Drosophila melanogaster: one gene and its partners. Changing the gene in region 2 together with the main gene of any one other region gives a genetic interaction. Each region holds a gene or a part of one and is shown on either strand. Other genes may lie near its edges. The genes, in order: Mp, Pi3K68D, hemo and Sbf.

Evidence for each region.
Region 1: of Pi3K68D (region 2) and Mp, changing one enhances a phenotype caused by changing the other (phenotypic enhancement), as found in Drosophila melanogaster (one study listed by BioGRID).
Region 3: of Pi3K68D (region 2) and hemo, changing one suppresses a phenotype caused by changing the other (phenotypic suppression), as found in Drosophila melanogaster (one study listed by BioGRID).
Region 4: of Pi3K68D (region 2) and Sbf, changing one suppresses a phenotype caused by changing the other (phenotypic suppression), as found in Drosophila melanogaster (one study listed by BioGRID).

Annotation. Positions count from the first base shown.
Region 1 is NT_037436.4:6,997,278-7,001,844, forward strand, and holds the start of Mp (multiplexin), read left to right. Parts: upstream 1-1,565; 5' UTR 1,566-1,701; exon of another isoform or gene 1,702-1,726; intron 1,727-2,357; exon of another isoform or gene 2,358-2,362; 5' UTR 2,363-2,558; intron 2,559-4,567.
Region 2 is NT_037436.4:11,786,980-11,791,597, reverse strand, and holds the start of Pi3K68D (phosphatidylinositol 3-kinase 68D), read left to right. Parts: upstream 1-1,584; 5' UTR 1,585-1,676; exon of another isoform or gene 1,677-1,977; 5' UTR 1,978-2,057; intron 2,058-3,352; 5' UTR 3,353-3,385; coding exon 3,386-4,419; intron 4,420-4,487; coding exon 4,488-4,540; intron 4,541-4,618. Other genes in the region: twy (twitchy), read left to right, coding at 1-1,320.
Region 3 is NT_033777.3:18,563,742-18,567,038, forward strand, and holds hemo (hemotin), read right to left. Parts: upstream 1,433-3,297; 5' UTR 1,392-1,432; coding exon 1,125-1,391; 3' UTR 979-1,124; coding exon of another isoform or gene 799-978; 3' UTR 523-798; downstream 1-522. Other genes in the region: CG43210 (uncharacterized protein), read right to left, coding at 799-978. UniProt on the Drosophila melanogaster protein: Negatively regulates early endosome maturation by binding to and repressing the activity of 14-3-3zeta which prevents the 14-3-3zeta-mediated activation of phosphoinositide 3-kinase Pi3K68D.
Region 4 is NT_033777.3:11,793,941-11,798,614, forward strand, and holds the start of Sbf (SET domain binding factor), read right to left. Parts: upstream 3,009-4,674; 5' UTR 2,904-3,008; intron 2,555-2,903; 5' UTR 2,496-2,554; coding exon 2,441-2,495; intron 2,370-2,440; coding exon 2,266-2,369; intron 2,197-2,265; coding exon 1,876-2,196; intron 1,817-1,875; coding exon 1-1,816. Other genes in the region: ClC-a (chloride channel-a), read right to left, coding at 3,502-3,807, 3,866-4,099, 4,178-4,207, 4,334-4,603.

The DNA of each region.
Region 1 (4,567 bases), 4.8 Mb from region 2:
TCGCCGGCCAAATGGATGCACAGGCATGCCGGCGAAGGCAGTTCAAGTGCACATGGCCAACATGAGCTGCGATGCTGCGATGCTGTGATGCTGCTTGAATAAACAATTGGCGGGCTTTGGGCAGTCGGCGTGCAAACAACGCGACTCTTGTGGCAGAAAATGGTCGAGGGGGGGGGGGTGTTTGGGGAATACCCCCATCCAAAAGGGGAAGGGCCGGGTGGAGACAACACGTTGCAAGTTCGATAAATGGCCGGCTCTTTAAAATAAAGTTTGCTTGCAATGGCTTTCTGATAAGGCTGACAAAATTACGCATACGCCGCATGTGCCCGCGTCGCAGTCGACGTCGACGGCGCTCTCTTTCTCTGCCAACACACACACGCGCTCTCTCTCTCTCTCTCTTTCTCTCTGGCTCTTTTCCTCTCTCAATTTTTTTTTGCCCAACAACTTGTATGAATGTGTTTTCAGTTTTTCCGGCTTTTTTGAGTTTTGAGCCTTTCGAGCCTTTTGCGATTCAACTATATCAACTGCTTTTCAATTTATTTATAGAATTTCAAATGAGGCGCCGGTGCGTAGTTGTTGCTGGAAAATTATGCTTAGTTTTATTACGTATAAATAATTAAGACGGCCAACTTGCCACAGCACATGTGGGACCAGGGGCATGTGTTCACTATGTTTTCCCGCCCCTCCAAAAATTTGTCGACTTCTTCGCACTTGTAGCCTTATCACTTTCCTATGGCCCACGTACCTTTCAAAGCCGCTTGGGAACTAATTTGCGCTGCTGTCCTGCCCGCTTTCCCTTGCCAAAGTTAAACGAAAGTGTTGCCCCGTATGGTTCGTCTCTCCAGTTGGCCCTATTTATAGCCAAGTGGTCGGTGCAAAGACGACAGCAGGGAGAAGTCGGAAAATGCTGAAGCCATAAGCACCTGCAGTCGCTGCACCTTGCAGCGGAAAATTGCCGCTTTGATTTGGCTTGCAGGAAATTCGCGTTACTGGAAATATTGTTCATAAAACGGTTTATGATATCATGTATACCGCCAGTTATATCGAGTGAGAATCATAAATTCTAGAAATTCAAATTTCTTTGAAAAGAAACTAAGAATAATGCTTATCAGTTTTTTGTTGAAAATATTGTTTTCGGAAGTACAACTATCGTTGGTTTTTTGTTAAATATAATTAATTCAATTTAATTTCATTTCATTTCCGCAATTTTGCTCATCGTACACAACGTTTAGGATACTCGTAGAAAGTCAATTAAATTCGTTCAGTTTGCACCTCAAATATTGGCTCAGCAAAACAAAATTGCACTAGCTGTTTACTAAATCGAAAACTCGATTTAAATTCATTTAAATTTAAAAGTTATCTACCATTTCGAGTGCCTTAAAACAATGCTTTTAATTGCATTTCGAATTTCGCGTTCCATTAGTATCTGTATAGGTATCAGCGACAAAAGTATCTGCCAAAATGTATTTACCATAGACGGCAAACGGTAGCATTTTGATTTCGGCATTCTCCCGCTGCCGACTGCGCTGCCAGCTGCTCTGCCGGCTGCCAGCTTTTCAGGCCTCAGTCTCAGTCTCAGTCTGAACGCTGAACGGAGCGCATCGCAGGGCACCCACACGCGAATTGAGTGCCGGCCACAACGAAGCGTGCTCCCCTGCGAAACGAAAAACATACAACTCGCGAATTTGCCGGCTGAGATTGGTACACTGCGAAATAAAACGAGATTGTGCGTTAAATGAAAGAAGAAAAAAAAAACGTAGCTTGAAAATATTAAAAATATTCATAGAAAAAGTGCATTAAAAATACAATTTTAAAGCGTTTTAAATAAACTCGTAGACTTCAGCGTACTAAAACCAAACACACTGAACAAATTGTGCTAATAAACATACATTTTAAGAGTCGTAAACAATTTTAATCAACAAAAAGTCACATAATTTATATTTCATATTAATGTCAATTATTTTTGATAAAGCTTTTGATGTAGAGGCAAACTTTTAATGAACGCAAAATATATACCGCTTCGATTTCTTTCTTAAAACATTTCAGACAAGCAAACCGTGAATCTTGAACACTCATTTTTTATGAAAAAAAGACAAATTAAATTTTCAGTGCACTTTTGATTGCGAAACTTAGTTGTCCCCCACAGCCGATCGGTCCACTTTGTGTTTTGTGTTCAGAAATCCTTCGGGCTGCCTTTGTGGCTCCTGCTTTGTGCCATTATTGGATTGGACAATGACTGGCCAATGTCAATGCCATCTCGAATGACCAATCATTGTCTGCCCATTTGGTCACTTCCATTGATCTTCCCCAAGTACACCCCTTTATAAATCCCCGTTTTGTTCCCCCGTTTTGTGTAGTGTAGTGAATTACAAGAACGGAATAACCGAGAGTATATATATAGAAAAGGAAGCCGGGGCTCAAAAGAAAAGTGTCCGAAGGCTTTGTGAAAAGTGTCCTGCTGCTGGAAACTGTCGCCCGAAACTATGCAGCAGTGAAAAAGGCCCACTTCCGCCAGGAAATACGTGGAAATATTCAGTGCCATTCAGCTGGAGACTGAGGTAAGTCCGCCCAACTATTTTTAAGCGATTACCCTTTGATGGTCACGTAAATGGGTGTACGTCCAAAAATTCCATATTGCCCAACAAATCCACTTGAAGTCGGACATTCGTAATGATAATTGCAAGTGCGGGAAATGCATTTTCGCTTGTGGTAATCTCGGCCAACGATTAGCTTTGCTTTTATTTACTTATTAAATAACATTTAGTTTTTCTCCATTTCTGCCGATATCATAATCGACCCATTCATGACGACAAACAAAATAGCCGACAAACAAACAAAGCAAAAACAACGGCAATGAACTGAAAATTAACTATGCATATTTGCGCAGCTCATTAATAAATATAACTAAGAGTCTATTGGTTTAAAAGAAGAAGCAATATTCGGCTTTTGGTTTGCCCTTGACGGATTTATTTGGCCATCTGTTGGCTCAAATATTGGCAGTATGTCTGCAATCTTGATTTAAAATCATACAAAATGTTTGCACATTATATTCACGTTTAAGGGTACTGACTTACGGATAAGTCAGCACTTCTGAAAATAACTATTGATTTGCTTACATAAAAGGAAATATAAAGGGTTATAATGCTAAAGAAAACCAACAACTCATTCTAATTTATGCCTAAAGAAAAGAACATTTAAATGTTTCTATTGCTGCAAAGTTTCTTTTAAAGTTTTCCCTATACCATCTGCAGTTTTTCTTTGCCTATCTTTATATTTTTTTTTTAGCTTCAATATTTTGTCGGCATTAGGAGTTCCCACATTAATGATCTTTCAACAGCATTATGTCGATGAAGTCTGCGATGGAGCAGCGGAAATTGAAGCTGTCGACGGGGCTAGTCAATAAGTCAACTTATTCGCCTGCGAATTTCGCGATTTATGGGGCCCAGCTTTATATATAAATACATACCTAAAGCGCGATAATTGCATATTGCAATCATGTCGAAATAAACTTGTAATTATTGCATATAAATCTTGAGTGAGAGCTGTCGCATGACTGCGAATCTATAATTATTCCATGGGTGGCTTCTGTGACAGTTTGAGTTTTCTGGTGAAATATTTGAAATATATTGAAGCATGAAGTGCATCCAAATTGCATCAGTTACAGGAAAAAATTTGACCTCCCTAAGTAATTGGTTTTTTGAAGACTTATTGCTTAATGGTAACGCACTGCATGATATGCATGGAAAATGTTGTATTTAAATTTTAAGATATTCAATCATTGAACTTTGAGAATATTCTAGTTTTTTTTGAATTTTTACCCACCGGTATCAAGTACGATTTTTTTTCATTTCCATGCGGACTGACCTAGCTTGTCCTAATTAAATGACAAATGCCCCGAATTTGGCAGGGAAAAAAGTTGTGACAGCAAACATTTTTGCCGCACATTTGTGTTAACATTCGTGGGCTTGACTGTTGAAAGTTTCCCCTTTTGTTGCGATTTTGTTGCCACTGTGTGACGACTCTAATTCACGGCAACAGCAACCGGCAGCGACAACTGGCCGAAAAGCAAATGTACTTTGATGTAATACACATAAACATTTGCAAAGGGGGTAATGTCAGCAGTATAAGTTACAAAAAACTCGGCAAAACAAGAGGAAAAAAATATGCCTAAAAATATGGTAGTAGGCTTCGTTGATGAAACTAGAACAATGTGTGCCATTTTGAGATTCCGTAGCGAAAACAAATATAAATCTTCATGAGTCAGTCGCAGCGAAACAAGTACGACTTTTCACTAAAAAAGCAATAAATGCAAACATGTAGAAATTAATTAAAATTGGCTACAAATTTGCATGTGACCCCCACACACCCACACCCCTCGATGTCGTCATATTTTTTTGTTTTTTGTTGCCACTTTGCAGTGACTCAGGCATAAAAGTGAGTGAACAATCGCCGATGTGATAACTGGAGGAACTTACGTCTCAATTAGGTCACTTGTGAATGGTAGTGCGCGATTTTCGTTCGATTCGCGCACTTGCAAAATATTTAAATTAGAAACATGCCCAGTATC
Region 2 (4,618 bases):
CTGCGACAAGATCATGAGGATGAGGTGCGCAAGCTGCGTCAATCCCACGAGCTGGACCTCGAGGGTATTCGTCAGGCTAAAATGGTGGAGTTGTCGGCGGTGCAGGATCATGGAAATTATCTGGACACATTGCGTCTGGCGTCCAGCAATCTTCAAGAACTTCGTGACGGGATGAGTGACAACCAGGAAAGGGAACGGCAGTTGGAGGCGCGAGAACGTCGCCTGGCCGACCAGGAAAGGCGTCTAAAGATGGACGAGGAGACGGCCGACGATGAGAAGCGCCGCCTGATGGAACTGGTGAGCACCTTGGAGCTGCAGCTGGGCCGTTTGTCCAAGGAGTCAGCCGAAGAGAACTGGCAGCTCCGTCAACGAATGTCCAGCTTGGAAGCGGAGCGCAAGGCTTTCGAGCGCGAAAAAGAATTCCATCGCGAGCAAATGCAGCGGGACGAGAAGCGTGTGGAGGATCTTAAAGCACTGCAGCTTGCGGAAATGGAACGACTGCACCACGATCTCCAGGAGGAGCGCAATCAACTGACAGTGGAACGCCAGCAGATTGAACTAAGACAACAGCTCAATGAGCACGGCGACCCAGACAGAGATCGCCGGGAACTGGAGGCCCAACTGCAGGTGGCACGCGAAGCCATTCGGCGGGCGGATGAGGAGCGGGATCGCTACCACAAGCTGCAGCGCGAAATGGAGCAGCGCAAGCGCCATCTTCTGGATAAGGAGCACGCCCTAAATCTCAAGGAGGACGAACTGGGCCAAGCCACCGGCGCCTACCGCCTAGCCACTAGTCGCCAACACTTGGCCGAGCAGAAGGCTAGGGAGGCGGACCAGCTGCTCCAGGCCAAGCTTAAGGTCATGGCCAAGCGGGCCCAGGAAATCGCGGAAAAGGAGGCACAGCTGGCCCACGAACGAATGCTGGTGGCGCAGGATCGTATGGCTTTGGTCAATCTGAAGAAGCAGATTTCTCGCAGCAGGTGTGCAATCTGCAAAATGGGTGCGGAATCGGCGGAAATCGCCCAGCGAAGGGCAAATGTAAATCCCACAGCAGCCACCGATCTTCAACTGCCTCAAGTGACACCCAGTCATGCGGAGCTGCTGCTTAAAATGTCCCAGGAACCGGGACAGGTCCAGAGTGACATTGTGGATCGAATGCTGGACGAAAACATCGAAGCCTCCTACCGCAGGATGTACAATGCGCCCCCCAGTAGTTCAATCGATGATCCCGACTATCTATTGACGTTAGCTGGTGGGCTGGACGACGACTCCAAGGTGGCCATGGATCACGGCCTGAATGTGGACGAAGCATTTATGTAGATATTGTGGAAAAATTTGTGGAAGCACAAATAATAACAACTGAGATAAATAAATGTATTACTTGGCAATTAGTATAAGTTTTATAAACAAACTATGAAGATACAAGATTACATATCGCTCGAAAGTTAAGTATTTTGTTATTCGTTAGAAACTCAATAAATTTGAATTGATGGAGTGAAACCCGGCTACATGATTAGCCAATACTCAAACATCTGTTCGATGTATCTTTCATCGATAGTTGCCAAACAATATCGATTCGTTTACCATCGCTACTGCTTGTTGCATTCCGTTTTGTGTTATTTCGTGCTGTTCGTGTTTAAAGTTCTTGCGCACAAGATAATTGTTTTTTTTTTATTGTAAATTAACTGATTTGTACATAATATGTGATGGTGCAAGAAAATCTAAGAAAATAACGTTTTGTTCAGTATTTTGGTGTTGCGTCTATTCCGTTTTTTGTCACTGTTTTCTGTTCGTGTTTGTGTATGGTCGTTTCGCATGTATGTGTGTAGGTGTTTAGGTGTGTAGGAGGATAAAACAACTCTCCTAAAAACAAAAAAAAAACCTTTGGTTAAGTTTAAATTAATTGTGATTCGTCAAATATAACAACAACCGAGGATAAAAGTGTAAAACTATTAACCGGATGGTCTATGTTCGTAGCCCCGTCAAGGGAAAACCTCAACCAAAAAGAGACTAGCAACGGGTGTAAAAAGCAGCGGAGGTGACACCTCAAAAAGCAAGTAAGTTGGCAATATGCGGATGAGAATCACAAAGCAGAAGTCAAGTCTGCATATTAATGACTATCTCCATTATTATTTTCTTTCGCCCTTCCACCGATATTCGTTTTTTTTAAATTTTATTCTTACGTTCTCCGGAATAAATTGGCATTCAATTGGGTTCATTTATTGTTTATGAATATTGTTTTTAAAAATTTTTTCGCAATCTATTGATTTACCTTAACCTTTGCCGCACGGAACCCTCTCTTTTGCTCTCTCTTCCTCGCTTCCTATTCCTAGCCGGTTCGCATTTTCTTATCTTCCATTCCGTCCCCGTTCGCGACACGGACTCACACACACACTAGTGCTTTTGTGGGTGTGTTTATATTAAACAGCTGTTTCCTATCTGCATACGAGATTGGCTTCAATGGGGAAAAAATCAAAACGCTTACATGCTGACATATATATATACGTTTATATTGCATATATTCGTATATATGTGTAAAATCTGGGAAATCAGTACTCGCAGCATTCATTCACGCAAATTGATGCCGCCGCTTTTGTTTGTTTTTATATATTTATTTACAATCGCGCACTCAATTGCGCCTTTTTGCGCCACTCTGCTGTATCGCAATCGCAAATTTGGAGCGCTTGGATATGGTTTCTATGTGCAAAGTACACAAGTATTTACCACATTTGTATGTACAAACAATAAGATAAAATGTTTTGCTGATGTTTGTACCGAATGTCGAAACTCTGCTAATCATACTTAATATCATGCTTGCATAATGATGTTCGAACTTTTCTATTAGAAGTTGATATTTTTTAAAATATAAAATTAATTCCTGTCCCTGCCCTGGCTATCACAAATCCTTGTAATTACGTTTTAAATGCAGTTGTCATATCCTTTTAACCATTTCGAAGCTTACAAATCTAATAAAGCGATCAATCTGTTCTCCCCTATTTTCTGAATTTCTGAATCATTGGTGCCCGCTAATGACGGCTCATTATCGATCGCGAATATTCCTTTGCAACTTAAAAAAAAAAAACTAGTGATAGGCACCCCCACTCTGTCGCAAGTGGTCTTCCCCCCATCGAATGCTATCTCACCTGTTCTTCGTCCAGGTACTCATATAGTACCATTGCCATTTACACTGCATAATCACTTTTATCACCGCCTGTTCGTTATCGCAGAGATAAGCAATCCCAAAAGCAAACACCTTTGTTCAACAACAAATAGGCATTGGAAGAGAAAATACGAAAATAATTTTAACAAAATTTGGAAATCGCTCACATTTTGTTCTGGTTCCCATTCGCAGCTCAACGGACCGGACGCTTTAGACGAGGGGATAATGTCAAATCAAGCGCATATCGACTACGACAAACAATTCCAGGATGACCTGGCCAAGGCGACCGCCCTGAGTCTAGAGCAGCATGCCCTCGATGACTACAGGCGAAACAAGAAGTACGGCTCCGGGTATCAGCAAAGCTCCACCGTTGCTGGCCGAGATTACCAGGCGGCGCAACGTAGTCAGAGCCTACATCAACCACGACGGCACTCGGAGGTGCATCAGGTGGCCATCAGTCCGGAGAATGCGGAACGATCGCGCACACCGCCGGCCCAGGGAACGGATAACGATCTGATCTGCTTCGCAAGTCCCACCAGCAAGCAGCCAGAGAGTAGCAGTCCCTTTGGCAAACTTATAGAGGATCTGCAGCGGATGCAGCCGACCAATCCGCAGTCGGCCCTGGTGCCAATGGGTCCAGTTGCGTCGGCTTCGATTCCTCCTCAATACGGCTTTCCACCTCATCAGCAACGTCCAACGGCTGCTCAGCCCACACCGTACGGCATGGTTGCAGGTGGAGTTGTTGGTGGACCGGCTTACGGTGACCTGCAGTTGGTGCCTTACCAACCAGCTGCTCAGCAACAGAGGCCACTAAACAGCGAGGAGCTGCAGCGGCTGTACAGCATGCCCGCTCAAATGGCCGTGGTTCCAGTGCCGCAGCCAAACGCCTATATGTACTATCCCGGAGCTGTGGTTACTCCATACACGGCTCCCATTGTTCCCGGATCGGCTGCTTTTATGCCGCCGCAGTATCCCGCACAGGGATATGGCTTTGGAGGTGCTTACACGCACATGGATTTGCGTCGACCCCAATCGCAACCAGCTCCCCAACAAACAGCACCGACAACAAGTCATCATCACAGCCAACCGTCCAACCATTCCACTTCCTCCCCCGCAGAGGCCAATGGAGTAGCCTTCCCAGCGCGTCGCCAAGTGCCCTCGACTGTCGGGGTTAGCTCTAGTAGCCACACTGGAAACAATGGTCATTCCTCGGTCCCACGCAGGGGCAACGATTTGATCGACCTCAACCACGAGGACTAGTATGTATCCACTAGTGTTCAGAAATGATTAGTTCGTGTTTTTAACATTCAAACATCCTGCTTTGCAGCTCCCGTGTGAGTGTGCTGGAGGCATTCGATCCCCTGCTAAACGACAATACTGGTAAGCAGCCTCAATGTTGTAATTAACGTGTAGCTCCCGGTCCTCGTTGAAATCCCCCCACATTTTTCGCACCGTAAA
Region 3 (3,297 bases), on a different chromosome or scaffold from region 2:
AAAGCTCACTTTACACTTTGGCCACTTAATTCGCTTAATTTAATTTCCCTTATTACCTGTGACGACTTCGTTGCCGGGATGTGAATGAAAATGTCATTTATTAGCGCATCTCGTCCTGCCACCGAGGACCATCAAAACCGCCGTGCAGCTCTAAATTTTGCAGGTCGTGAAAGGAAACGTCAGCGAAGATGCATAGCCAAGTTTTTGGCTAAATTTATGGCCCGTCGTAAGCAACCAACAACTCTCAAAATACACCCATCCAAAACACACACACACACCCACAGACATCACGTTTTCACCTTAAGTTGTACTTAAAGGTACTTCGTTCCTGCCGTGAACTCATCAAACATTTTATTACACAACAGGCAACTCTTTTTTTATGGTTGCGATCCGAGCGGAGACATATAAAAACACTGGTATTCAGATACAGAATGAATCATTCATAACCGATTGTAAACAAGGCGACATCATGTCAGTGACTAGTGTGCATTTTACATTCATTTCGTTTTCAATACACGTTTTATTTACTTTTCGTTATCTTATTTCTGGGAAAGAATTAATAATATAAATATTAATATTTGCGATAATCATATGTCGTTATAGATTTATTTAACACAGAAATATCATTAACTGATTTTTCATAGATTATTTAATTAGAAAATCGTTTAAACATTATCTTATATAATAGATACCGTAACTAAACAATTTTTTTTTAAAGCTTGGCATTTATTATTATTTTTACAAAGGTTTAAAAAAAACGCTTCTCGCAGTGCAGTGATTCACATGAACTTAACTTTGTCAATAGACTTGCAGTCGTTCCACAGAGATATCGTCTGGCAAAGTAGGCGTGGCTTCACGCCCCCGCGATCTACGACACTCGCGGACATTCAGATACCAGTAGTAGAAGTACATGAATACCATCAATATGAAGACCGGTCCGCAGATGAAGTAGGACAAGTGAATTTGACTGTCAGTCATCGTGATGCACTGTCCAAAAAATAAACTAGTTCAAATCCTCACTTTCGATAGCCACTCGTTTATGTCTTGAGCATAATCTTAAGTTTAAAGATTGAAGATTAAAGCATCGCTGAAGTGTTTAATGATTTATCTACAAAGCTAGGATTTTAATAGATATCAACGCTATTCCGGCTGTGCGTTAGCTTCGTGGTGGCCACCATTGAGCATCCGGGCGTGATGGATATGCGACTCAGTGGCAGTGGCAACTGGGCTTGCTGCTCCTCGATGCGAGCTGTTCGACGATCGCGGATCCACTGATAGCCGTGATAACAATAGCAACACAACGTAAGTGCAATTGTAGCTACGGCGGGAATCAGCAGTAAGGGATTGATTTCCGATTGAAATACAACTTCGAAAACTTTAAAACAATCCATGTTGCAAGCGACGTTCGATGTGCGGATGGGGAAATATAACTAAATAGCGAGGAACCCTTAAATGTTTGGCATTTGCGTTCAAATGGCGATTTATTTTCTCCAAATACACACAGAGAAATTATATTGGGCTAATAATTATTACATTCTGAATTTCTTGGTAAATATTTATATAGTTTCTCTATCAATTGTTTTTGAAATAATTACTAAAATATTAATCATGGTCATTATTTGAATTTTCACAATGATTTAATTTAAAAACCAAAATTTTTTCTCTGCAGAACTTTATTCTCTCTCCCTCAAAAATGCAGATAAAACGCTATTAATACTCGCAGCGGATTTGAGTTCTTATCCGATTTTTTTCGTATTTCCGAATGATTTTATCGGTTTGAAATATTAAATTATTCATTCACTTTCATTTTACTAACTGACTAGCTTTAATTTTATTTATTACTTTATTATGAAGCACTTTACTTTCTTAGTGAACTTTGTGTACTATGCCTGTTTGTGATCCACATGCACTCGAGTTGGTGGATAAGCCAGAAGCTTGAATGAATCATGCAAGGGCGCCAAGGTCCCATCTCATTGTTGTTTTCTTCGTCTCATTCCGCTGATGACGATGCCCTCCGGGGATTCTCCAGAATCTGGGGACCATTGCAAATAGAACTGCTAGCTAGACAAACATATAGAACTCCAGGGGAACGCGTCGGCGGCGTCCAGACGCAGCTCAATTCAAACTTTGAAATTGTGCCTTGCTGTGTTGACTGCGAGTGCTGCTGACATTTGATGCTTTATGATGGAGTAAGAACCAAAAAACAAGCAGCACAAAAATGGATGGATATATGCCAAATCGCAGCAACACCTCGACATCTGCCGCATTCCACACACCCACAGACTGATGAGCAAAGTTTGCTTTTAATTTAAAATTTCGCCGCAGAAAAGTAGAGCCAGTTTTTTTTTGGTTTTTTCACACTAAAGATGCTGAGATATTGTGGGTTTTAAGCAAATAAACAATAAATGTGTGGTGTTAGCACTTAATTAATTTCATTAAGGAACTTCGAAAGGGAGCCTTAAAATATTTTAAAGGTGCCACAAAAACATTTCCTACACATCGAACCGAATAGGAATTCTTTCAAAACAAGAAAATAAGTTGCAGTTCATGCATTGAAAATCCTTTTGTATTGCTTAAAATTCTTTCGGTGAAATAAAATTGTTTTTTACCAACTATGTTCGAGGTTCGAAAATAATCGAGGCAGTTGGGGCGTAAGTTTGCAAGCGTAACAAACACACTGACCAAAAAAAAAAAAAAAAAAAAACACTCACAACGCACACAGAATGGATATTTCTCATTCAATTTCGCAGGTGTTTGACTCCATGTCGAAGGTGGCTCCAAATGGAGAAGGAGTGGGAAAGCCTTTGTCGATTTGAGGCGAACGTGGTTTGGTTTGTTTCGTTTCGATTCGATTCGGTTGGCATTTAAGCGGATTTTCAAACGCATCCGAAATGTGCAAATGGAACAGATACTTCGGTAGATACTTTGATCCACAAGGGCTTAAATGAAGATAGTGATGTTAATATAGTCATATTGACTGAATTTGAACTCGATATCAAGGCAGCTGAATTCAATACTATGAAAAGCACTTATTTAACATAAAGTAAATTAAAGTTATATCAGTTATTACTTAACAGAAGAAAAGTTTATAATAAAGTGCTGTAAGCTGTGCTTGTTATATTAAAGCCTTGTAATTCCAGGCCCGCATTTAGCATTACAAGTGATATTTGTTTGCTTTATGTTGCCCGTTTGGCGTCCTGTGTCCCCAAAAACCCCACACATTTTCCACCACAAATCCACTTTTATCGTATGCGAACGTGTTGCATACTTTGCGGCTGCAGCTGCTGTTGTTTGCCT
Region 4 (4,674 bases), on a different chromosome or scaffold from region 2:
CCGTGGGCTCCTCTAGAGGAACTTCGTCCAGCACACAGTTGGCCTCCTTTTGATGCTCGTTCTGACGTCGGTGAAGCAGATACAACGCCTTTATTTGACCTTGGACATCCTGAAAGAAAGTAGACTCCCAAAATTGCAGGTTTTTCCAGATGGCGTGATCCTGTATCTCTGTGTACGCAAATTGCACTACTCCAGTCGAGAGCTTACGGCAGAAGATTGTGGACATGGGCAGCAGAGCCGCAGCCACTGTGTACTCATCAATGCCGGATGATTTTTGCAGCGCCTTGTTCATGAATCGCACAACTAATTCAAACTGTTGATGGTCCAGAACTGCCTTGTTGCCGTGCACATATCCAAAGAACTCGCGGCACAAGATCAAGCGCGCATCCCGATGCATTAGGGTGCGCATCACAGCCGGCAGCAGTTTTCTGGCATCTGTAATTCGATTCTCAAAGATGTATGACACACAGATCCGCAGCACCTCCAGTCGCCTAGCCGAGTTTTGGACATTGGGACGCACATCTAATGCCTCGGGTAACCTGGGTCCCATCGGAATGATACGGTGCTGATTACGTGTTACATGAAAGCGTTGTGGCACTCCGTTCTTTCGTATCCCTTCCTGTATGATAAGCTCAACCTTTTCCGAACTTATGCGCGGAAAGGCTGGTTGATGAATACGCTGGAATGCGCCTTCCGGCGGACGCAGTACTTTTTGGGCATAGCTGATGTGAGCCAGAGTGCCCTCATTTTCATATAGAACTCGTCCCAATTCCTGGATATGTGTGAGTATCTGAAAGTAGGAAGGAAAGGTAAAATTAAAATATCCCTTGAATCTTTGAGTTCTACCTACGAGATTTCGATTCTGCGCCTCCGATTTGAGCAGTTCGTTCATTGAGCTGTAGAGCTCATCCCAGGCATCGGAGGATCGCCAGGGAGGGCCTCGTTCGTTGACAAACGTCGTGAAAAACATGCTGTCCAGCACCCTAAACAGGAATTCGCTCTCTATCAGATCGCGGGCGCCGAGAAATCCTGCCTTATGGAAGGTGATCACCGGCTTTGGGTGGATCCGAATGATAGTCAGGCAGGAGCGATATCCCTGCAGCAGCTGAGCGAAAAGGCGCATGAATATGGCGCGAAGTTCCTTATCAATCTGGGCGTCAGTCTTAGCAATAGCTGAAGGCCGCTCTAATGTGGGAAACGCCAGATCGGCCTGCGCCAGGTTTGGAAACAGGATCATGCTGAGCAGGTCCTGGGTCTGTTCCCACAGCGGTGATGGAAGAATAGGAACAGGCGGCGTCAGCGACTCGGGAATGGTAACGAGGCCGCCATCCAAATCCACCACAATAACATCCAGTAAATCCGTAATCTCAGTTTGCAGTGAGCTATGTATGCCCATAATAAATGGCGTAGGTGTGGATAACACTTCCGTGAGTGGAGCCGGCAGAATTGGTATATAAACATGAGTATACCGAAAGGGATACATCAATGCCACCAAAGCTCTGCAGCTGTCCGTCAGGTGCCAATAACACTTAGAAAGAAACAGTATCTTGTTCTCTGTCATCACGGAGCAAAGCAGTATCAGCACATTCTTGATGCCCAGCTGCTTGAAGAGGAAGTGGACTCCACTTCCAGTCGTGGGCAGGGAGGAGCTCTGCGGAGGCTGGAGCGACTGCTTGTCTCCTGCTCCTATAGAGAAGCGCACCTGCGGTCCACCCGCTGGAGGAACTTGGATGCAGCCCAGAATGTTTCCTATGAGTGTCTCCAATCCATACGCCAGGTTCTCAATGTACACCGTGTATATGGTGCCGAGACAATTCTGTAAATTAAGATAATGGCTTAATTTAGTATCTTAGGTGGTCTGACTTTTAAACTCACTTTAAAGGTCTCGGCACAGTCCAAACGCGATATAAGCACCAGACACTTTGGTGCATACATGACGCTGTGGTGCGTAATGGAAGCCGGCGTGGATGTCGTTGTGATGCCATCCATCGATGAGGGTGTGGCTCCCAGCAGCCTGCTGCTGCCGATGGTCTCATCCTCGTCGTCGACGCTGCGCGTCTGTGTGATGGCCACCGTCTCATGAAAGCTGAGGCAGGCGCAGTAGTGCTTGTTGGCATCGATGTCCGTCAGCACAGAGACGAAGAACTTGGGCTCCTGCTTCTCGTACGATAAACTCCAGCCGAGCGGCTGGCAGAACTGTCGGAATGATAAGTTAAAATTCAGATATGCTTCGAATTAAGTGAGGAATGTTTCAAGCGCACCCACCCATTCAATGCCCTCGATAAACGGAGTGTCCGGCCAATCTTTCTCGGGAAAGCGCTGAACGATCTTGCCGCACGTCGGCTGGCCGCCCACATTGCTGGCAGTTTCTGGGAAAAGGGAAATTGTTGAATGTCAGAGAATTGCTAATTATGGCTGATGGGCATGTGGATGTACTCACTCTCCTTATCACTGTCGTAGCCGACTATTACGAAGTAATCAGCGAGCCGGGACATCTTGCCCACCACATAGCCGGCCAGTCGTCTAGGATCCTACGGCTCTTTACTAGCCAAATCTAGGAGAACAAAGAGTTGAAGATGTTTTATTTTGATTTTTTTTTTGTTTTTGTTCTGTTGCGTTCTTGTAGCAGGGGACAGCGGCAGATGGATTCTATTCGCCAGTGCCGTCATCCAATTTGATATGCTAATTAGGCTCCGTCTCTGCGCTCGGCATAAATGATTAGCTCCACGGAGATCGAGGGGCCGAATTGTTATTGTATTGTCTATAGCGCCCGGAGGCGTTTTTCAGGCTTTACGAGTCTTGGTCTTCACTCTTTTTTCTTTAACCACACCCCGCCACGCAAAGTGGGATCGTTCGCCGGGAATCGGACTGGCCAATCTATATATATATATCCGCGCACACACCTCGCAGCCGGCTGCAGCCGAAATCCCCGCTAACTGCCAGCAAATCTCAAAGAATTCGGGGCTATAATAATTATTTTTAAGTTCGCATAGAAAAAGATAGATGCAATACACAATAATTTTCACGAATTATCCAACACTTTCTGCATCAGCTGATTGAATGTGTCGATATTTGATTGGCGCTTTGAATGTATCGATAGTTTCGGACTGCGCTACAAATTAATCGGCGCGAACTTAAAAGATCAATTGGAAAATGGCAAAATTAATTTCCACTTAGCCTTAAATATTCATTAAACAATTTTGGGGAAATTATAATATAATTAATCTGTTGGAAAAATAGGAAACTTGTATACTACATTAATACTCCCCAGTATATAAATAAAAATCAAACGCAGCCTTCGTTGGTGACTTGATTTTCTTTTCAACTTAAATATAAATCACGATATTTTTCACATTATGAACTAACGAGATATAAATACATAATAACATTGATGACTAACTCGTGTAAGACGTAACTTAAGATAGATGTGTTTAGCTGATCTTTACAAACATATTACGTATACGTATCGTATTAACTATTATGATGGCCGATCATCTTGTTTCAAGCATGATTTCCGTTTTCTGTGTTACTTTTGTCCGCCGATGGACTTTGCTTAGATTCCTGTGGCGGCATGGTGAGCGATACAGTGCCCTTATCCGTGTGCTTTATGTGCTCCATTTCAATGTCCGAACAGTTCTCGGAATTGGATAGTGCCGAGTCCATGGAGGTGACGGTCATGTCCACGGCCTTATCACTAGAGTTCGTCGACAGCAGAGGTTTCTCCACCGCCGGCTTCTCATCCGCATCCTCATCCCGTGTGGGGGGCACGAAACTATTGCTATTAATGTCCTCGATGGCTTTTCGCAACTGTTTAATAAAACATGTGTTATTGTTATAATCATCAAGGATATCAAACAAGACTTACTTCTTTGAGTCCCACGACACCAACAAGTCTTCCGATTTTGGTGACATAGGCGTGGTTAATACCCACCATGGAAAACAACGAGTGAACCTTGAGTATGGAGGTGCGTTCCACCAGCTGAAATGGCGAGGGATCGATGTGGACATTGGCCTTCTGCAAATCGATGGGCTTCAACATTTCCTCGAGCTCCCATTGCTTCTGATCCTCCGGTGACATGTCAATAACACGTTCCCTGGGCTGTAAATCAATCAAATCGGTAGATATTATATCTTGATTGAAATAAGGGGTTATGTAATTAAAATATTCTAAACGTACCAATCGCACCGACTTCGGCTTTTGAATGCTCTTATTTGGGATTTACAAGATAGGAGAGAAAATGTGTATGTTAACTTTGAGAGTTAATGATTCATAATGCGTTGTAAGCTCGTTGACAATAGATATTAATCAAAAGTTTGCATCAGTTTTACATACCTCAGCCAGCGATTCTGGATTTGTTGTTTCATCCACATCCTCTATAGAGTAACCCAATACATTTTCTGGTTTTATTTTACATTTCGTTCGAGTGGGCGAACCATTTACTCCAACTTCGTTAGCAAACCTTATTTTCGAGCACCTCTTGGCCGTCTGAGGAGATCTATTTACATCTGCCACTTTATTTGCTTTGAATTTAATGCTCGGTGATTGCTTTGAACTATCTCCATTATTTGATAATGCTTTATCCGTGAAATCTTTCTCGGCAGGCTTTTTAAACATTAATCTTGAGATTACAAAATTATGTATAGATAGATATTTTAAACTGGCAATACTCTACT